Elephas maximus indicus: one gene and its partners. The protein of the gene in region 3 interacts with the protein of the main gene of each other region in a pairwise test. Links are inferred from orthologs where the notes say so. Each region holds a gene or a part of one and is shown on either strand. Other genes may lie near its edges.

Evidence for each region.
Region 1: the proteins of DISC1 (region 3) and KIF3C interact in binary tests that used the Homo sapiens proteins (3 or more experiments, as listed by UniProt). The link is inferred for Elephas maximus indicus from reciprocal best matches to the Homo sapiens genes DISC1 and KIF3C.
Region 2: the proteins of DISC1 (region 3) and ATF4 interact in binary tests that used the Homo sapiens proteins (3 or more experiments, as listed by UniProt). The link is inferred for Elephas maximus indicus from reciprocal best matches to the Homo sapiens genes DISC1 and ATF4.

Annotation. Positions count from the first base shown.
Region 1 is NC_064830.1:44,033,705-44,040,575, forward strand, and holds the start of KIF3C (kinesin-like protein KIF3C), read right to left. Parts: upstream 3,018-6,871; 5' UTR 2,359-3,017; coding exon 820-2,358; intron 1-819.
Region 2 is NC_064822.1:183,485,915-183,493,079, reverse strand, and holds ATF4 (cyclic AMP-dependent transcription factor ATF-4), read right to left. Parts: upstream 2,700-7,165; 5' UTR 2,511-2,699; intron 1,837-2,510; 5' UTR 1,745-1,836; coding exon 1,519-1,744; intron 1,436-1,518; coding exon 600-1,435; 3' UTR 518-599; downstream 1-517. UniProt on the Homo sapiens protein: Transcription factor that binds the cAMP response element (CRE) (consensus: 5'-GTGACGT[AC][AG]-3') and displays two biological functions, as regulator of metabolic and redox processes under normal cellular conditions, and as master transcription factor during integrated stress response (ISR).
Region 3 is NC_064842.1:32,964,916-32,972,568, reverse strand, and holds the start of DISC1 (disrupted in schizophrenia 1 protein), read left to right. Parts: upstream 1-4,645; 5' UTR 4,646-4,673; coding exon 4,674-4,953; intron 4,954-7,653. UniProt on the Homo sapiens protein: Involved in the regulation of multiple aspects of embryonic and adult neurogenesis. Required for neural progenitor proliferation in the ventrical/subventrical zone during embryonic brain development and in the adult dentate gyrus of the hippocampus.

The sequences.
Region 1 (6,871 bases), on a different chromosome or scaffold from region 3:
TGTAGAATGGCTAGGACTAGACTCCAGGTCTCCATTATACATGCTGGTGCTCTTTCTACCCTACCTCCTGTGTGATCCCTTTGAATCTCCTTCCCATGACACAAAGCAATGGGCCCCACACATGGGCCCAGTGGACAATTTTCACAGGGAACAGGATCCACTCATGGTTCCATTCTGCCACCCAAGAGCTGAACAAACATGAGGCCTACAGGTTCCAGCTCAGCCCTGCCACCTTGTAAAATGGACCCTTCGTCCTGTCACTCTCTGAGTCTTAATCCTTCATCTGTAAAATGGAGGTGTAAGAACGGCCAACCTGGATGGCTGTTCTAAGGATCAGATGAGATCATGTACGTGGGGACATTTTGTAAACTGTGAGGTGCTATCCAAATGTCAGATATCATTAAAATGATGTCAGGTCTGAAGATGCAGTAGAGGAAGGAAGGTACAGGGGAGAAGGCTAGTCAGGAGAACCCCCACTCATGAGAGGATGAGCCTGGCCATCCCATTGACCTCATACTGGGGCTACCACTAGAGACTGACAGGCAGCAGGTCACCACCCAAGCTCTTTGGCTTGAGACCACCTGTCTGCTCTGCTCTGCTTAGTGTGTGTGTGTGTGTCCCCTCCAAGCCCTCCCTGGAGGCTCTGCCTGTCAGTCTGGTATCACAGGAATCTGCCTGGCTGCTCCAGGAGTACATTTGGCAGGAAAGCAGTGTGTGATGTTGAGGGAGGATACCCCACTGCATGCCGGGCCACAGATCCTCAAAGACCCACAGACCCCTGGGGACTTCTCGAGTCCACCACTCCCTCTGGGGCCTTACCTTGTACTTGGCAGCAAGCAGCTCTGTGGCCTGCTGCTCCCGCCACAAGTCCTCCAGCATCTTCTCCTTCTCCTCCAGCAGCTTCTGCTTCTCCTCACTCACCAGACTGCGGTCGTCCTGGATGGCTGCCTTCTCCTCCTCCAGCCTCTCCTTCTGCTCCTGTAGGTAATTCTCCATGTTCTTCTCCAAGGCTGACTCCAGGATGGGCTGGGGCGGGCGGTGGTTGTTGTTGTTGTCATCCTCCTCTTCAGCCACCCAGGCCTCGATCACTGGCCCCTCAGGGTACCCTGCTGGGGCAGACACAGCCTTCTTCCTGCGGCTGCTCTTCCTCCGGGGCCGCTTCCCCAGCATCCCCCTTTTCTCCAGCTGGGCCTTGAGGCGGGCAATCTCTTCCTGGAACTCCCGCAGCAGCGTGTCCTTGGGATCCTCATTCACTCGAGGCTTGTTCTTGATGTTCTTCGCTCGGTTGGCAAAGCGCAGGGTGGAAAGGCTCTCATCATAGCTGTGAGAAGCTGGCCCTAGTGTGGCCACCATGATGGTCTTGGCATTTCCCCCCAGAGAGTCCTGGAGCAGTCGGGTGAGCTTGGAGTCCCGGTAGGGGATGTGTGTGCTCCTATTGCCTGCCAAGGCAGCAATCACGTTGCCCAGGGCAGACAGTGACAGGTTGATCTTGGAGGCTTCCTTAGGCCTCTCTCCACCACCACCACTGCCTCCATTGCTACCGCTGCCCCCCGAGGACTGGGCGGCTGTCCCTCCAGCTGTGTTGGGGCCTGCCTTGTTCTGCCTCTCACTGCCAGCCAGGTCCACCAGGTTGAGCTTGCCCACACGGATGTGGTCCTGGCCATCAGAGCCACGCTCACTGCACTCCACCGTGATGAGGAAGATAGCATGGGAGCGGGAGCTGACCTCGTTCATGTGTGTGCTGCCCACTGCTCGGGTCTGGTTCCCCAGGTTCATCACATGTTCAATCTCCTTGACATTCTTGGTGACAAAGGAGGAGAGGTCCTTGATGTAGACACCCGTCTCAGGGTTTTCCTTCAGCTCTAGCCTCTTGCCTGGCTCCTTGGAGAGCAGATCTCGAATCTCCTCCTGGTAGATCTCCAGGTAGGAGGCCCGGACCAGGTACTGCTGGTTCTGGGAGCGGGAGATGTGGGTGAAGATGTGCTCAAAGGCATTGGGGATGACCCCACGGAGCTCGGGCTCCACCCAGGTGCCCTGCATGGTGTAGGTCTTGCCAGTGCCTGTCTGCCCATAGGCAAACACGGTACCATTGAAACCCTGAAGCACCGAGTCTACCAGGGGCCTCACAGTTTCATCATAGAGGTCTGCCTGCTTGGAGCTGGGGTCATACACGGCGTCAAATGTGAAGGTCTTGGGCAGCTCCCCCGGGGCAGCGCGGGGGTTGCGCAGGGTCACCTGGCCCAGCTTCACATCCATGGTTAGGATCTGCTCGTGACCAGCAGCCTCCTCCTTCCGGCTGAGGGGGCGGCACCGGGCCACCACCTTGAGGGCCTCGCTGGCCTTGGTTTTACTGGCCATTTTGCTGCTCTGCCCTTCCTGCCCCTCCCCGCTCCCCTCTGCAGCCTGGACGGTCTTTCTGTCCTCCTCCCTAGGTCCGGATCCGCGGGGCCAGCCCAGCCCCCAGGCGTCGATCTTCAATCCGCCTGCAGCCTCCTAGGGTGGGGATGCGGGGAGATGGCACCACCGCTGCTGCAGTCCGGGCCTCCACTGCTCTCCGGTCGTTGCTGCACCGGCCAGGGGGGTAGAATTAGGCAGAATCCCCGGGCAGCCGAGGGAACAGCAGGAGCACTACCGGCCGAATGGCAGTGCCCGGAGCCCGCCCCATGCTGGGGCAGAGGCAGCGCTGCGGTAAACAGCGACCGCAACAATGAGATAAAGGACGAGGAAAATGGGATGGGGGTGGGCAGCAGAGCTGTCTTCTCCTCCTCCTCCTTGCTCTAGGGATCCATAGCGGAGGCAGCGGATCCTGGGCGGCGGGGGGTCCCGGCCCTCCCGAGGGCAGAGGCTCACCTGGAGTCCTCCCCCTCGGCTGGGGGATCATTCATTGCAGCCAAGGCGGCTGCTGCTGCCTCTGCCTCCGCCTTCAGCGCCGCCGCCACCCGAGAATGAGAGAAAAACAGAAGGGGATGGGGCGGAGCAGCGGCGCGAGAGTGATGTTGCCGCCGCGCTGCGGCCCCGGCGAAGCCTCTCGGCTGGGGTGGGGCCAGGGGCGGGGCCGCGGGGCCGGAGACGCGAGCTGGGCGCGGCCGCTGTGCGGCGGGGAGCCGGGCATCGCCGGCCCCGCACCCCCGCGAAGCCTCGGTGATGACAGGCTCCGGTGCCGACCCAGGTCCTGCGCCCGCCAGTCCGGTGCAGCGCAGCCACCGCCCGCCGTCACCCCACCGGGCCGAGCATGCTGGGAGTTGTAGTCCCGCCTTTGTTAACCGGGCGCTGGCAGGTTGCTAATGCCTTTTCCAGTCCGGGTGGCCCCTCCCTCTCCGGCCTGCAACCCCCGGAGTGACTGCTGAGATTGCAGGCTCCCTGTGGGGGTGTCCACCACCCACACTTGTTCCCTGAACAGCCACCGTTCTTGGTCTCTCCATTGCTCTTGCCTTTCTGCCTGGAGACGGGTATATGTCACCCCTTTCCTTCAGGGTGTTGCCAGGCCTCGTGGAGCCTGACCTCTAAATGTCTCTTGACTCTGTCCTTTCTCTTCCCTACCCTGGCTTACTTCACGCTTTCCTCTTAGCTCTCCTGGAGCCACCTTCCAGCTGGTTCTCCATTTCGTCACAACAGGTGCACCTGGTCCTCTCTCCTCCTCCTTCTCCCACCTTCCATGTTGTATACAAGGCTCTGCATCTTCTAACTCCTGCCCAACTTCCTAGCCTGGCCACCAGCTACTCTCCTATACAGAATCTATGTTTCAGATGCTCGTTTTTTTCAACCAATAGTTATTGAGCACCTGCTAAGCCTCAGGCTCCATTCTAGAAGCTGGACTCCTGTCCTTAGGGTGTCCTTAGGGTGCTCAGTTCTAGGAACTATGATTTGTTTCCTTAACTGGTGGTGCTGTGTTGCATCTCTGTGCCTTTGTCCAGAGGACCCTGTCACCCTTTTGTACTTGGTTCCCTGCCACTTGGGCAGTTCAAGCACCACCTCCTCCATGAAGCCTTCCCTGACCAATTGCTCTCCCACAGCAAGAAAGAGACACAGAATTTGCATAATGCAAATCCTGAATTCACGTTCCAATTCGGACCTCCATCCAAGGTATGACTTTGAGCACTTTCTTTGCCCCAGCCTTAATTTCCTCATCCATTAAAAAAAATCGGAGAGGTGGGTGGGGGATAATACCTACTTAAGAGAGTGGCTGTGTGCCTCAAAGGAAACAAGGAACAATGAATCACAAAGCAGTATAACCATGAAAAGACTTATAAAGCAAGCACTTAATACTTGCACCTGGCCTGCCTTGGATTACCTTATAGCTCCTGCTTCCTTGAATATCCAGGTCTGCATGTTGTGCTCTTCTATGGAATCTTCGGAAACCCTGGTGGCATAGTGGTTAAGTGCTACGGCTGCTAACCAAAGGGTTGGCAGTTCGAATCCGCCAGGCGCTCCTTGGAAACTCTGTGGGGCAGTGCTACTCTGTCTTTTAGGGTCGCTATGAGTCGGAAACAACTCGACGGCACTGGGCTTATGGAATCTTCATATTTTCCCCCTCTAGGGTGCAAATTAAGCGTAACTCCTCAAGTACAGCCAGTCCTATCCATGTACCACTCTGCAGAGGTGAGTTGAATCTACGGACGGACACCAAACTGTCTTTACTCCCCACCGGAGATCAAGATCAAAGAGGAGCTTATCTTTTTTTTTTTTTTTTTCAGAGAAAAGTTATTTTTATTGCTCTGGGGCGGGGTATGGGGGGCGCTCAGGAACCCCTGGTGGGACAGTTCGCTTCCTCTGCACCATCACCATGCACAGGCAGCCATGCACAGATCCAGGAGGTACTTGTTCCTGCAGATCACGTGCCAGATGGTGCTGAGTGTGGTTCAGGCGTTTTTGTTGATGGTGGTCGTACGTAGGAGGTGGCTGCCTTCTGCTGGCCCATCTGCGCTTCAGTACCTCCACTACCCCTTTGCCCTCGGCTGCCGGCTGCACGCCCACAGTCTTGAGGTGTGTCAGCTGGTTGTAGCGGAAAGAGTTGCAGGCCTTCTGGGTACTGGGCTCGGTGCTGTAGTCTGCTTGTTTCCCTTGATCAGGAAACTGGAGCAGTTACACACCGCCATCCACCGCAAACAGGCAGACATGGCGGCAGCTCCTCTCCCTGCGGCGCCTAGAGACGGAAAAGAGCAAGGAAGTGCTATGATCTGAAATCTCAAGGCTGTTCTTCACAGAGGCTTTATAATAGCCTTTCTACAAAACATTTTCAATCTTGTTATTCTCTAGAGGGCCTGTTTAGTCCTTCAACTCTACTAAGCCTATCACTTCACCTCTCGCCTGTCTCCCAGTCCCCAGGAACTGAATGTCAGCTAGGCTGGAGGTTTGAGGATTAGCTGCTTGCTTGCCCACTTCTGAAGTTTCCTGGCCTTCCTCAGCCTTTGATCAAGCTCTACCTCTTATGATTAACTGAATGAGGTTTTGACTTTGTAGACTTAAGCTCTCTTGGCTCTGGCAACCTAAGACCCATTTGGCTCTTGAACTATTGTTGCACTTGGCTTTGGTTTTTGGACTATGCTTTCTCTGCTTTGGTTAATCTGCTTGACACTAAAACCAAACCAAACCAAATCCACTGCTGTTGAGTTGATTCTGACTCATAGTGACCCTGTACTATAAACCAAAAATCAAGCCAGTTGTCATCAGTCGATTCCAACTCATAGCTACCCTACAGGACAGAAAAGAACTGCCCCATAGGGTTTCCAAGGAGTGTCTGGTGGATTTGAACTGCTGACCTATTGGTTAGCAGCTGAGCTCTTAACCACTGTGCCACCAGGGCTCCCCTGACACTATAAAACAAAACACCGTTGCCGTGGAGTTGATTTTGACTCCCAGCGACCCTATAGGACAGAGTAGAACTGCCCCATAGGGTTTCCAAGGAGCGAAAGGTAGATTCGAACTGCCAATCTTTTGATTAGCAGCCGAGCTCTTAACCACTACCCACCAGGGTAAAAGTGATCCCCACCCTGCTCTCCCCATCTAATGTATCACTTGGCAGGGCGATTGCCCAGCTCTGCCTATATCAGAGGGACATTGGGATACCATTGTTTATAGGATGTATGACCCTGAGTAAGAAACCCTGGTTGTGCAGTGGTTAAGTGCTAACCAAAATGTCAGCAGGTCCAGCCCACCAGCAGCTCCTCAGGAGAAGGATGTGGCAATCTGCTTCCATAAAGATTACAGGCTTGGAAACCTTATGGGGTAGCTCTACTCTGTCCCACAGGGTTGCTCTGAGTTGGAATTAACTCAGTGGTAATGGGTTTGATTTTGGTTTTGACCATGAATAAATTGTTTAACTTCCCTGAATAGCTATTTTCTCATTGGGAAAAATGCTGAGGATAAGAATGCTTACCTTATCCACAGGGCCTAAGGACCATTAAGTGAGATAATGTAAGTGAGAACTCCAAGGACATAGAAGGTACTCAAGGAATAGTTTTCCATCTTTTTGTCCTTGCATTCAAAGCTGTTCACATCCTGTCTCCCTTCTCAGCATTGTGTTTAGCTGTTCCTCCTCCCCTCACCCTCAAAGCTCGAGCCACTCTGATTTGCTTGAGGTCCCTGGAACATCCTAGTTTGTTTTTTGGGGGGGGGGTCTCCTTGCCTTTGCTCATGCCGCTCCTCTACCTGCAATGTTCTCCTAATTTTGTCTATTTCTCTCTGCACCACCTTACCTTCTATTTATTCTGCAGCTCAATACCATATGACTTGTACCCCCACCACTCAGTAGACTTACCAAGGACAGCACTGAATTCCATGGTGCCAATTCTGGTAGACCTTTTTCAGTAGAGGCATTTGACACAATTGACTTTCCCCTCCTTCAAGGAACTCTTGCTTCTCATGACTTGTA
Region 2 (7,165 bases), on a different chromosome or scaffold from region 3:
CGATGGGCATTCGTCCATTCCACTCCACCGCATTGGGATTGGTCATTTGAGACAATTCTCAGCCCTCCAGGCCCACTTTAAAATCTGAAGCCTTTTGTCTGAACAGGTTCCCTTCAGGGAAACAGCTTACAGAGCTGGCAAAGCTTAAAATACAGCCAAGGTTGTGTCAACAAGACCAGGAAGTTCTGCCCTCCCAGCTGTCCCGTAAGTCCTGAGGGCTAACTCTCCAGCCCCACCCCAATGGGTTACTGGTAAGAGAAACCCTAAGAGTTCAGTTCCAGAAAAACACCCAGCCAGCTGTTGGGCTCAAGCCCAACTCTTTGCCTGAAACTCGGGGACCCAATGGAAACCATCACCTTCCATGACCCACCCCACCCAAACAGCCTATCAAACCTGTGATCCTCAGTAATGATCTCACCCACCCCTGGACCCCATGAAGGACCAGAACCCACTCCTGGAAGGGTTAAGTGAATCATTTTAGCCACAAATCAAAAAAACTTACGATACACAGCACATCTACATAAGTACTTTCACTACAAAATAATTTATTACAACACAGCTTCAGCGCAAGCCTCCTATATACAAGCACCCGTTCCTGACTACCCTAGGGAATCCCTTTTCTTCCCCCTGGCCCTGCGGACCTCTTCTATCAAGTCTTTCAGATACTGGATCTCCTTGGCCAGAGAATCCGCCCTCTCCTTCAAAGCCTCGTTTTTCTTTTCTAGCTCCTTACACTCATCCGTGAGGGCCTCCTGCTCTGCCCTCTTTTTCTGACGGTACCTAGTGGCTGCTGTCTTGTTCTGCTCCATTTTTTTCAGTTTCTTATCCAATTTCTCTCCCTTTACTTTTGCTGCTACCACCTTCTCTCTAGGAGGATCATAAGGTTTGGGGCGAGCAGAGCCACCGAGAGCAGGTGGAGACAGCAGGCTCCTATCTGGAGAGCCCCCAGAGGTGGAGGGGCTGTGCTGGGGAGATCCTGGACAGGATTCAGGGCTCATGCAGATGCCACTGTCATTATCTGAAGGGGCCTCCTCCTCTTTTATGCACTGAGGGACCGCGGTAACATACAGAAAAGAATCTGCCTTTCTATCTCCTTCGGAAATATCCACTTCACTGCCGAGCTCTAAACTAAAAGAATGGTCTGGAGTGGAGGCCAGGACTCCGGGGCAATGGGGCAGAGGTTGCAGGAAGGTCAATGGGGCAACCTGGTCAGTTTGGGGAAAACTTTCTGGGAGATGACCAATTGGGTTCAATGTCTGGGGGGGCTCATTCGTCTCCTGGACTAAAGGGTCTAAGAGATCACAGGTGTCATCCAACGTGGCCAAAAGCTCGGCTGGCATAATTTCCAGGTCGTCTAGACTCAATAGGGCATCGAAGTCAAACTCCTTCAGATCCATTTTCTCCACCATCCAATCTGTTCCGGAGAAGGCATCCTCTACAAGACACAAAAAAGTGGCATCAACTCTCCCCAAGCACAAGTGACCCAGACCACGCCGGGGGATAAGGACAGCCACTCACCCTTGCCGTTGTCTGAGGCATCGACCAACCCGTCCACAGCCAGCCATTCGGAGGAGCCTGCCTTAGCCTTGTCCCTGGAGAACCCATGCGCTCTGCAGTGCTTGGCCACCTCCAGGTAGTCGTCTAAGAGACCTAGGGTTTCTTCAACCCCCAAACCCGACTGGTCGAAGGGGGACATCAAGTCCCCCACCAACACCTCGCTGCTCAGGAAGCTCATCTCGGCCATAACGCGGGGCCTTGCTGAAATCGAGGAATGTGCTTAATTCGAAGGTGTCTCTGTCGGTTACAGCAATGCTGCTGCTGAATGCCGTGAGAAGCCTGCAAGGAGCCGGGAACGAAGGCCCATCAGACACGGGCTCGTCTGGGAACCTCATCGTTCTGCCCTGAGACAGGACGGCCGCGTGGGAAGCCCGCTTGGCTTTGGAGAGTGGGGCGCACGTGGCCTCGGAGGCACCGAGCACCCTTGGCTGCGTCCCGGCTCAGCCGGCCCCGCCGCGGGGTGAAGGCCCTCTCCGTGCTGCCCAAATACGGCCGCCGCCCCGCCCCGGGGAAGGCGCTCCCCGCGCTGCCCAAATCCGGCCACGGCGCCCCGCCCCGGGGAAGGCGCTCCCCGCGCTGCCCAAATCCGGCCACGGCGCCCCGCCCCGGGGAAGGCGCTCCCCGCGCTGCCCAAATCCGGCCACGGCGCCCCGCCCCGGGGAAGGCGCTCCCCGCGCTGCCCAAATCCGGCCACGGCGCCCCCGCCGCGCCCCGCCCCGCCCCGCCGCCGCCATCTTGGCTCCTGCCACGTTCGCCGGCCGACGGCGCCGGCCGCTCCCCCCGACCCAGGGCGCCGGCGTCTCGGGGACACCCAGCAGGGCTCCCGCGGCGCCGGCGCCTCGTAAAACAGCTTCCTGCCCCCGCGACGCCGCCCGGCCCCAGGACCGCGCCCGGCCCAGCCACGTCCGCCCGGCCCGGGACGCCCGGCCAGCGGGCCCCACCCCGGTACTTACGCCATGGCTTAAGCCGCTGGGGGGTGCCGCTGCAGAGCCTGGTGCTGCTGCCGCCGCTGCAATGGCCAACGCTGCCGCAGGCACTGCTGCCTCTAATACGCCATGACGGCTGCGGACCCTGCGGGCGGGGAGGGAAGGCGCGGGCTACGTCTCTGCTCTACATCTGAAGGCGGGAGGAGAAATGGCCGCCGCGCCCTCGCGGGCCCTTTATACACGCCGGCGCGGGCCGCACCACAGTCATGTTCCTCCGCCCTGGCCACGTGACCTTCGCCTCTTACCTCCGAGGTTTCGCCTATCTGACTCCCTGATCTTTTCCAACCCACGGTCTTTAGGTCCAGGACGTAACTGTAAAAAGAAAATGAGCTATTCTCAAGGCCTCGCGAAAAGAAAGAGGCGCACTACTTTACAAGGCTGCTAAGATTAGACGCTCGGCGCCCCGGAGAGCGGAGGAATCCCTCGGTCGCCTCGCTTCCGGAGTCAGCCGAGGGGCGGGGACAGAAGCCTCTCATCCCAAGCCGCCCGGTTATCGCGCGAGATGCTGGCGGGAGCGCGCGTCGAGCTGATTGGGCCTGGCATGGAGAGTTACACGTGTCTCGGGCTCCCATTGGATCAGGACGAGGTGGGCGGGCTGCTCCGTGACGTAGCCCAGGCCCGCGCGGGAAGGGCCAGAGCTGTCAGCGCGGTTCCCGCCGCCGGCCTCGGCCCTTCGCTGCCCCTTCTCGGAGACGCGCGGCTGGGGCGGCCTCTCAGTCCGGGCCGCCCAGCACCCACGACCGCGCCAGCACCCGTCTCCGGGCAGCTGTAGCCCAGGGCGCCCCAAACAGTGGCATTAGGGCCCGGCCCCTTCCCTTCCTCATTGACGTGACGAAACAACGCCAGGCCGGGCTCTTTGTCCCCAAGTTCCTCCGCCCATCTTTTGTTCTGTTTGTACACATGGGGTTGACTTCCCCCCTGGAAGGGCCCTGGAAGTTACCTAGTGCAACCCTTTATCTTGCCGAGCGATCCCACACGGACAGCTGACTGTCCGCTAGAGATAACCACTAATAGCTAATAAAATTGCCCCCAGAAATAATGGGGAGCCTTGTTGCTACAGCAAAGAAAAACGGCAAACAAAATGTTAACTGCAATAAAAATGCTTTGAGGCAATGACATGAATTCAAGAGAGACAAGAGCACCCGGGGCCGCGGGCATCATTCACTGACTGGCTTCTGGTGGGTCCTCTGCGGGCTCCGAGGGAGTCCCTAGGATAAAACTATGTCAAAAGGGAAATGTCATTACATATGTGCATTCACTACTGCAAGCCCTCCAGTAGCTGAGAGGGGCGGGGAGAGGGCGCTAAATCTTCGGACCTCAGTTGGGAGATCACTAGACCCACGCCCCCCTACCGTCGAGGCCCAGCGCGAAGTCCTCACCCTCAACTCCTTGTGCGTAACTTTATCGCCCAACCTGTGTTTTACAATATCCATTCTGCTAAACTGTGTTTGCCACTCATTTAAAAGTATGCAGTCAAGCAGGAATTTCTTCCAGTTTATGCAGATGCAATTCCTCTGAGAACACGGGGAGACTTTATTCACCTGGCATCTCTCGCACTAGGATAGTTTCAGTAACTCCCAGTTCTGTCACTCCCAAGCATGACCAACTTCCCACGAAGTCATCCTAGTGACCCTGTGAGGAGAGAAGCTTGAGAACCATGTCCCTTTGCTGGGGGTTGGTGTGTTTGGGTGCGGCTGTCTCAGTCTGGGCCAGCGACTTGCTCTCTATGATGGAGCTGTAGAGTGCTGGGAAACCTCCCAACCGTGCCCTCATCCCCTGCCTGCAGCAGAGGCCTGGTTTCCTCCTCCATTCATCAGTGTGCCATATAGTTATTTCTACCACGGCTATGATGTCAAAAAAAAAAAAAAAACACTTGGGAAGCACTGTCCTGGAGAACTACAGACCATTTTTTGACTTGATTCAATCTAGCCCAACAAATTTTAAACAATACTAAACTGAGGCCTAACAGGATGAGGCATCTTGCCCAGTCACCCAGCTCCCACTAGAGGCAGTATGTAGTTTTTTTTTTTTAAGTTGCTATCAAGTCAATTGATGTGTGTCAATGGATGATTTTTCAAAGTAAGCCTTTCTTCTGAGGCACCTCAGGGTGGGCTTGAATCTCCAACCATTCAGTTAGCAGCCAAGCGCATTAACCATTCCCACCACCCACGGACTCCAGGGTAGGGGTTAAAACCCGAAAAATCAAACCTGTTGCCATCGATTCTGACTCCCAGCAACCCTTTAGAACAGAGTAGAACCACCCCATAGCGTTCCCAAGGAGCGCCTGGTGGATTTGAACTGCCGACCTTTTGGTTAGCAGCCGTAGCTCTTAACCACTATGCCACCAGGGTTTCCGGGTGGGGTTAGAAGACAGATTTGGGAGCCAAACCGAAAAGAATCCTGGCTCTACTATTACCTGGGACACTTTGGCTAAATGACTTAACCTCTGTGAGCCTCAATTTCCTCGTCTGTAAAATGAGGCTGCTGATGGTACCTATCCTCTGAGGATGAAATGAGGTCATACAGGTAAAGTACGTGCCTGCTTCACGGTCAGTGCTCAGTAAATGGTTGCTATTCTTACTATTAGAACTCAGGTCTTGGGATCCTGACCTCCCAGTCTCTCTGCCCTTATCTCCATTGTATCATCCTGCTTCCTCAGGGGACTTCACTATTCTTTACTGACAGATGAAACCAAGGACTATTTTTGAAGCATCAGAGATATGCAAGGAATACTAGATGCTGGGATAAATGAGTGGTTCTTCCTTCCCCTTGGGAACCATGAGTGCTGAAATACAGGAAGTTGTCGAAACTTTCAGGCAAAGCCAGCGAGAGCCCCTGAGCCCTTATACAATCTTCTAAAGAGTAACTAAGGGCCCCTGGGGAGTGTCCTCCTCTTGCTCTATCACAAGACTTCTCGTTGCCTCCGGCCTGATGATCATGCAGGTGCCTGAGACTTAAGTGAGGCACCCTAGTGGCGTGGTACAGTGGTTAAAGCACTCAGCTGCTAACCCAAAGGTTGGTGGTCTGGACCCACCAGCTGCTCCATGGGAGAAAGATGGGACAGGCTGCTTCTGCAAAGATTTACAGCCTAGGAAACCTTATGAGGCAGTTCTACTCTGTCCTACTGAGTTGCTATAAGCCAGAATTGACTTGACGGCAATGAGTTTGGTTTTGAATTTACTGAACACTGCCCTAGTTTTGGCACTGCAGAGGCCATGGCAGAATGACTCCGGTGGCAGCCTGTCCCATCCATTCTATTACAGAGACCCAGGTCAAGTCCTTCAAAGGTTCTCACTGAAAATGGAGACCCAGTTCCACTCCCAGAGGAAAATGTTTCCTGCCACGCACACAAGTCAAAGCTGTTGCAAAGTTTTATTTTCTTCTTCCCATGCTGTGGAAGGACATCATGTTCCCCAGCTGTATTTCCTCCCTCAAGGAGAAAAATAGTGATTCTCTGGGCCTCAAGGCTAAGCTGTTCCTGCATGGACCTGGCCAAGCCAGGACAGAAAGACTGGTGATAGGCTCCAGACTGACCAGCTATACGTATCAAATGCACTGAAGGAGAGCCAAGTGACTACAAGGCAAGTTGTGGACTTGGTCTCAGGACCAAGAATTTAAAGTCACAATGAAAAAGTAAACACCAACCTGACTGTAGTTACCCGAGAATAACCCCTGGTATTTTGGTCACTGTGTTAGTCCAGCAGTGTCTAACAGGGCTACAGCCTCACAGCCCAGTGCAGGGTCAGCCTTTGCCTAAATATCTCTTACCCTGTCTGTTAACTTCAGGAAGGAAGGGCAGAGCTCTAGCAAATCCTCTGAGTGAAGTTCACAGCCAGGGCCCTAGTCCTAAGGACCTTAGCAGAGCAATCTGGACACATGCAAGGTTCCCCACCTGGAAAATCATCTGCAGGGACCCTCCAGGGCCCTTTGATCCTAAACCTGATTCCTCATCAAAACCACTTGAGCTCTCAGCTTGAGTGGAGAACACGGGAGCAAAATCAGCTAATCTGGCGTGTGAACACAAGTTTACCAAACATAAACTTTGACATTAATTTATTAAAGAAAAAAGCCCCAACCAATTGTAAAAAGAAAGAAAGATATCCACTGTTCTGAGCTCATTTTTTAAGAAGGGGCAACAAGGAAGAACCAAAAAAACCTTTGATAGGGTTTTCAGGATAATAACGAGTGTCTTTTTAAGCCTGAGGCTCACTGTGTGGTTTGCTAACCTAAATGGTGCACAAACCCTCCAGACAGCAGGAGCAGATTCTGTTACTTCAGGCAAAGATAGGGGTTACTGAATAAGGAGGCAGAGCAGGGGAAAGCCACTACCATCTGTAACTAAAGTTTGAAAAAACAAACAAGGCAGAACAACGTCGCCCTCTTCCATCCAAGAATCTCAAAACGCTTAACCATCTTCCACCTTTTATGAGGAGGAAAATGGCAGCAAAGAGCGGCTTGCCCAGTCCCAATCAGCAAACCCTCCAGAACAGGCCAGAAGTGCCAGTGGGTGGAAATTCTCAGGACTTCTAAGAGGTTCTTGCTCGTAAAGTGACAAAACTACGGTGTTTGATTTTGTGGCTGACGTGGTTAGATGACAGAGGCATTCTCAGAAAGGCGCTCTT
Region 3 (7,653 bases):
CCATATTACCTGGTGGTCCTTAACCCCGACTGAACTTTAGAATCACCTGGCTATAATAAATGACCATGTACTCCTATGGTAAATGACACATACACCTACGGTAAATGACCGTATATTCTGGTGGTTTTTCAGAATTTCCCTATATCTTGTTGCAAGGTACCCTTCTTCAGACTTTTGTCACATTATATGCCTTTGTGTCTCCAGAGCTTGACCTGGTCTGTTATACATAGTATGTGTCAATAAATACTTGTCATTTTAGTGGTAGTAATATCACTCACCAGGTTTTCCTTTAATATCACTCATCTGCCCCAAAACCTTCCATAGCTTCTTACTGTCTACGGATGTAGATCTTAACCCTTCTTATGTCACAAACTCTTTGATAAGTTGATTAAAGTTATCTTAAAAGACAAATAAAAAACAGATGGAAACAAAATTTTGCACATATTTTCAAGGGTTCCATGAACCACCGAAATCATCCATGGACCTCTACAGGGGTCTGTGGGCCCCAAATTAAGAATAAGTCACCCAAAAGTGACAAGCCCATATTCCTAAGCCCAATCAAGCATGCTCACATTCATTCTGTCCCATAACACACCAACTTTTAAGCACAGCTATGGGTTTTCACCCCCATGAGTCTGTCAGTTTGTTGTACCGTAGGGGCTTGTGTATTGCAGTGATGCTGGAAGCTATGCCACTGGTATTCAGATACCAGCAGGGTCACCCATGGAGGACAGATTTCAGCTGAGCTTCCAGACTAAGACAGAATAGGAAGAAGGACCCGGCAGTCTACTTCTGAAAAGCATTAGCCAGTGAAAACCTTATGAATAGCAGCAGAACATTGTCTGATATAGTGCCGGAAGATGAGCCCCCCAGGTTGGAAGGCACTCAAAAGATGACTGGGGAAGAGCTGCCCCTTCAAAGTAGAGTCGACCTTAATGACACGGATGGAGTAAAGCTTTCGGGACCTTCATCTGCTGATGTGGCACGACTCAAAATAAGAAGAAACAGCTGCAAACATCCATTAATAATCAGAACATGGAATGTATGAAGTATGAGCCTAGGAAAACTTGAAATTGTTAAAAATGAAATGGAATGCACAAACATTGATATCCTAGGCATTAGTGAGCTGAAATGGACTGGTATTGGCCATTTTGAATCGGACAGTCATTTAGTCTGTTATGCCAGGAATACAACTTGAAGAGGAATGGTGTTGCATTCATCATCAGAAAGAACATTTCAAGATTTATCCTGAAGTACAACGCCGTCAGTGATAGGATAATATCCATACACCTACAAGGAAAACCAGTTAATATGACTATTATTCAAATTTATGCACTAACTACTAAGGCCAAAGATGAAGAAATTGAAGATTTTTATCAGCTTCTGCAATCTGAAATTGATTGAACACGCAATCAGGATGCATTGATAATTACCGGTGATTGGAATGCTAAAGTTGGAAACAAAGAGGAAGGATGTATAGTTGGAAAAGATGGCCTTGGTGATAGAAACAATGCTGGAGATCGAATGATAGAATTTTGCAAGACCAACGACTTCTTCCTTGCAAATACCTTCTTTCACCAACATTAACGGTGACTATTTTTTTTTTTTTATACACATGGACCTTGCTAGATGGAACACGTGGGAATCAAATCAACTATATCTGTGGAAAGAGATTATGGAAATGCTCAATATCATCAGTCAGAACAAGGCCAGGGGCCGACTGTGAAAACGGACCATCAATTGCTTATATGCAAGTTGAAGCTGAAACTGAAGAAAATCAGAGCAAGTCCACGAGAGCCAAAATATGACCTTGTGTATATCGCACTTGAATTTAGAGGCCATCTCAAGAATAGGTTTGACACGTTGAACACTAATGATCAAAGACCAGACGAGTTGTGGAATGACATCAAGGACATCAAACATGAAGAAAGCAAGAGGTCCTTGAAAAGACAGGGAAGAAAGAAAAGACCAAGATAGATGTCAGAGGAGACTCTGAAACTTGCTCTTGAACATCAAGCAGCTAAAGCAAAATGAAGAAATGATGAAGTAAAAGAACTGAACAGAAGATTTCAAAGAGTGGGTCGAGAAGACAAAGTAAAGTATTATGAAGACATTTGCAAAGACCTGGAGACAGAAAACCAAAAGGGAAGAACACGCTCGGTGTTTCTCAAGCTGAAAGAACTGAAGAAAAAATTCAAGCCTCAAGTTGCAATAGTGAAGGATTCTATGGGGAAAATATTAAGTGACGCAGGAAGCATCAAAAGAAGATGGGAGGAATACACAGAGTCATTATACCAAAAAGAATTAGTCGATGTTCAACCATTTCAAGAGCTGGCATATGATCAGGAACCGATGGTACTGAAGGAAGAAGTCTGAGCTGCTCTGAAGGCATTGGCAAAAAACAAGGCTCTAGGAATTGATGGAATATCAACTGAGATGTTTCAACAAATAGATGCTGTGCTGGAAATGCTCACTCGTTTATGCCAAGAAACATGGAAGTCAGCTACCTTGCCAACTGACTGGAATAGATCTATATTTATGCCTATTCCCAAGAAAGGTGATCCAACCGAATGTGGAAATTATAGAACAATATCATTAATATCACATGCAAGCAAAATTCTGCTGAAGAGCATTCAAAAGCCACTGCAACAGTGTATCAACAGGGAACCACCAGAAATTCAGGCTGGATCCAGAAGAGGATGTGGAACCAGGGATATCATTGCTGATGTCAGATGGATCCTGGCTGAAAGCAGAGACTACCAGAAGGATGTTTACCTGTGTTTTATTGACTATGCAAAGGCATTCGACTGTGTGGATCATAACAAACTACGGATAACACTGCGGAGAATGGGAATTCCAGAACACTTGATTGTGCTCATAAGGAACACATACAGAGATCAAGAGGCAGTTGTTCAGTCAGAACAAGGGGATACTGAGTGGTTTAAAGTCAGGAAAGGTGTGTGTCAGGGCTGTATTCTTTTACCATACCTATTCAATCTGTATGCTAAGCAAATAATCCAAGAAGCTGGACTATATGAAGAAGAATGGGGCATCAGGATTGGAGGAAGACTCATTAACCCCCTGCGTTATGCAGGTGGCACAACCTTGCTTGCTGAAAGTGAAGAGGACTTGAAGCCCTCATTAATGAAGATCAAAGTCCACAGCCTTCAGTATGGATTAGACCGCAACGTAAAGAAAACAAAAATCCTCACAACTGGACTAACAAGCAATATCATGATAAATGGAGAAAAGATTGAAGTCAAGAATTTCATTTTACTTGGATCTACGATCAACACTCATGGAAGCAGCAGTCAAGAAATCAGAAGACGCATTGCGTTGGGCAAATCTACTGCAAACAACCTCTTTAAAGTGTTGAAAAGCAAAGATGTCACCTTGAAGACTAAGGGGTGACTGACCCAAGCCATGGTATTTTCAATCACATCATATGCATGTGAAAGCTGGAGAATGAATAAAGAAGACCGAAGAAGAACTGATGCCTTTGAATTGTGGCGTTGGCAGAGAACATTGAATATATAATACTGCCAAAAGAATGAACAAATCTGTCTTGGAAGAAGTACAACCAGAATGATCCTTAAAAGCAAGGATGGCAAGACCGTGTCTTACATACTTTGGAGAAGGACATCGTGCTTGGTAAAGTACAGTGTCAGCGGGAAAGTGGAAAAGACTCAACAAGGTGGACTGACACAGTGGCTGCAACAATGGCCTTCAGCATAGCAACCATTGTAAGGGTGGCACAGGACCTGGCAGTGTTTCGTTCCGTTGTGCATGGGGTCACTATGAGTCGGAACCGACTCCACCGCACCTAACAACAACGCGTTTTCGCTCACAAAATTCTTACCATTGAAGGGACCTTAAAAAAAAAAAAAAGGGACCTTAGCCCTCCTTTAATTCTAGCAAGATCCTTCCCATCCCTCCAGAAGTCTTACTGACCCTTTCTCTTCACCACACACTCTCCCACTTCTGAACTTCTGCAACACCTTTGTGCTAAGCCCCCGGCACTTGGCATATTCTGTTGTATGATGCTATTTTTTACAGGAACATGTTTCGTCTTCCTGACCGGAGGTAAGCTCTGAAGAGCAAGAAACCATTTCTGGCACTTCTTTGCTCCCACTGTCCTGTAGCGGGTGCTACATAAAGGTGCTGCAACAGCCTCTTTGAATCAGTCAAAGAGAAGCAGCGAAGGAGGTGAGTGTAGCTGGTCTAAGAGCTTGGCAAGGATTATCATCCTGGAACGGAACCGCCTTACATTGGGTCACGGATCTGGAAGCAACCAATCTAGTGTTGAACGTGGACTCACAGCTCATTCTTCGAACAGCTGCTACCACTGATACCTTTCCTAGTGTCACCTCGCATCTCTCCCTTTTCCCCTCACCTTTTTTTTTTGTATAAGTTAGTTCTCTCATTCATCCATCGACTCCCACTCATGCATCTGGGGGCGCCCTCGTGTACACTTAGGGCCTCACAGCTTCTCCTTCGCTGTGACACCCGTCCTCCCAGCGCACTTCCCCACTTGTCTTCCTCCAGAAACTGAGCGAGAGTAAAAAGGGAGTTTTCCATCCAGGTACAGGGAGAAGGGCTGGGCCCTGGTCCGGCGCGCCCGCTGCCGCATTCTGCGTGAGTGTGGGTGTGTGTGGGGACGAGGGCTGGGCAGGATGCCGCTGGCCGTAGAGGAGGAAGCCGGCTCCCCTTCTTTGGCCGCCCTTTCCCCACTTCCCTCCCAGCTCGGCTTGGGTCTCTGGGGGAGCCGGGGCGGAGGAGGAAGAGGTCGAGGAGGAGGAGCCGGCGACCTGGAGCCCACCCCCGCGGCCGCTGGCAGCAGAGAGGAAGCGACGGGGCGGCGCGGCCGGGCCATGCTGGGCGGGGGTCCCCCGGGCGCCCCGGGTGGCTGGGCCGGGCGCTGGGAGCGACCCGGCTCCGGGAGCCAAGGCGCAGGTAGGAGAGCGGCGGGCCGGCCCCGGGCGGTTCCCCAAGCGACCCCTCCGCGTGCCCCGTGGCTGGGCCCAAGGAGGGACCCCGGAGGGAAGAGTCGGAGAGCGCGTCGTGACCGCCGAGGGAGTCATGCGGGCCGGGTGCTCCCTGCTAACTCGGGTTCCGTTCAGCCCTCTCGAGGGAGGGTGGGAGGAGAACTTGGTCCCGCGTGCCGCGCCCCGCGCCGGACCAGTATGTGTGCGCTCAGGGCGAAGCGGAGGCCCGGGTACGACGGCGCGTCAGGCCCGCTAGTACCGCGGCGAGGCGTGTCCGACGTGTACAGGGGCGAGTTTGTGTTTCGCTCCTTCACAGGCACCGCCGCGGCCTGAGCGCGCCCTTCGCTGGCGCCCCGCACTCGCCGCTGGCAGACGCGCGCGGCCGGATCCGACGGGCCCTCCTCCGCGCGCACGGGGCGCGCTCTCGCCGGTCCCGCCGGGAACCTGGAGGGAGGAGGTGGGGGTGGAAGGAGGAATGCGGCGCTGGCACCGCCCCAAGGGCCTGCTCTGTCAGTGATTTCACCGCCCACTTCCGATTTCGAGGCGGTAACGCCAGGATCTGAGGTTCTTTCACTGTCCCCCACGCTCCTCCCTCCGCCCGCGTGTGACAGTGTCCGTTTCCACTGTCAACTCTAGTGATAACCCTGAAGTCGTTAAGGTGGATGGTTGCTTTTCAAGAATGACCGGGCTTGTGGACGTCTCACTCTTCAAATAGATGCAAAGGAATTTGAGGATCTCCGGAGATTTAGAGTCAAAAGAGCTGCGTGGTGGTTTTGCTGGATCAGGAAAGAACTTTACACGAGTCATGAGTCACGTAACATCTCTGAGCCTGGGTTTCCTCAGATGTAAAAGGAGAGAGCTAATACCTGCCCTCCGTGGCTCATAGATTGGTGTGTGTGAAAGCACTTTGAATGTATACCTGTTTCACAAATGTCAGTTGGACAGCCAAACCATACCAGACCCATTGCCATCGAGTTGATTCCGACTCATGGTGATCACGTAGGAGCTTGCCCGGTAGTGTTTCCAAGGAGAGGCTAGTGGATTCAAACTGCTGAATTTTTGGCTAGCAGCAGAGCTCTTAACCACTGTGCCACCAGAGCTCCAGTTGGGCAGCACCAATGTCCTAATAACTGGTGTTTGGAGACAGTTTGCCTACATTCCAATCCTGGACTTCCTGTGCCTCAATTTCCTTATTTGTTAAATGGGCACTCTGACCGTACCTCCCTCATAGGGTTTGTGAGGTTTCAATGAAATGACTAGGTGGAACACCTAGCCCAGTGCTGGAGATATACAGTAAGCTCTCAAATAAACAAAAAACAAAACAAAAAAATTTACTTTTACCACACTCAAATAAACAAAACAAAACTCCTAAGCTGTTATTTTTTCTAAAGCAAAATAATTTGAAGTCATGTGGAAATATCAGTTTGAGTCGATTAAAGTATGAATAGCAGGATAGTTGAAAAGCAATTCAGTTTTATCACATTCAGGGGCAGAGGCTGTAAATGCAGTCATTTGGGGGCACTTAATCTTTGCAGAAGTAGACTGTCACATCTTTCTCCCGGGAGCAGCTGGTGGGCTCCAGCAGTTCTACTGTGTCCTATAGGGTCACTAGGAGTCAGAATTGATTCTGTGACAACAGGTTTTTTTGTTTTGAGGTCACGGTTGAGAATCTGTGCCACCAAGCAAAAGAGCCCTGGACAACCAAAAAAGCCAAAGCAAACCCATTGCCATGGAGTTGATTCTAAATCATAGCGACCCTATAGGACAGAGTAGAACTTCCCCATAGGGTTTCCAAGGAGAGGCTAGTGGATTCGAACTGTTGACCTTTTGGTTAGCAGCTGAGCTAGCGCCTCCTTTCTGGGCAGTGTGACCTTGAGCCTCACTTTTCTCATCTGTTTAAAAAAAGATAAAAGAAAAATGGGAATAGTAATTATGGCCTTTTGTACTTAAAGAGGTGCTGTGAGGATCAAATGAGGTAAAAGATCTGAAAGCACCCTGTAGACTGAGTTGCCACACAAATATAAGACATTAGTTTCTAATAGGGAATAACAATACCAAAAAAATCCAAACCCGTTGCTGTTGAGTTGATTCCGACTCATAGCAACCCTATAGGACAGAGTAGAACTGCCCCATATGATTTCCAAGGAGCGCCTGGTGGATTTGAAAGGCCAACCTTTTGGTTAGCAGCTGTAGCTCTTAACCGCTATGCTACCAGGGTTTCCAGGAATAAAAATACCTGCAATTTTTTATAAATTTATAATGTGTTAGGCACTCTATTATGAATTCCTTTGATAACATACTCCCCCAAAATGAGGTGGGTGTTACAATCCTCATTTTCCCTATGGCAAAGCTAAGGTTCACGGTCACCCAGCTTTTTCCCAAGGTCACATAGTTATTAAGTGTAGAGCTAGAATTAGAACTCAGCTGTATTCTCAGTCACTGGCTGCACTGAAGTTATCAGGCTAAGCCATGGTTCATAGCAGGCCTGTGTTAGATTATAGATCATGGTACATCATACTAATACAGACCAGTTGCTGTCATTTGATTCTGACTCATGATGACCCCATGTGTATCAAAGTAGAGTTGTGCTCCATAGGGTTTTCAATGGCTGATTTTTCAGAAGTAGATTGCCAGGCCTTTCTTTCAAGACACCTCTGGGTGAATTTGA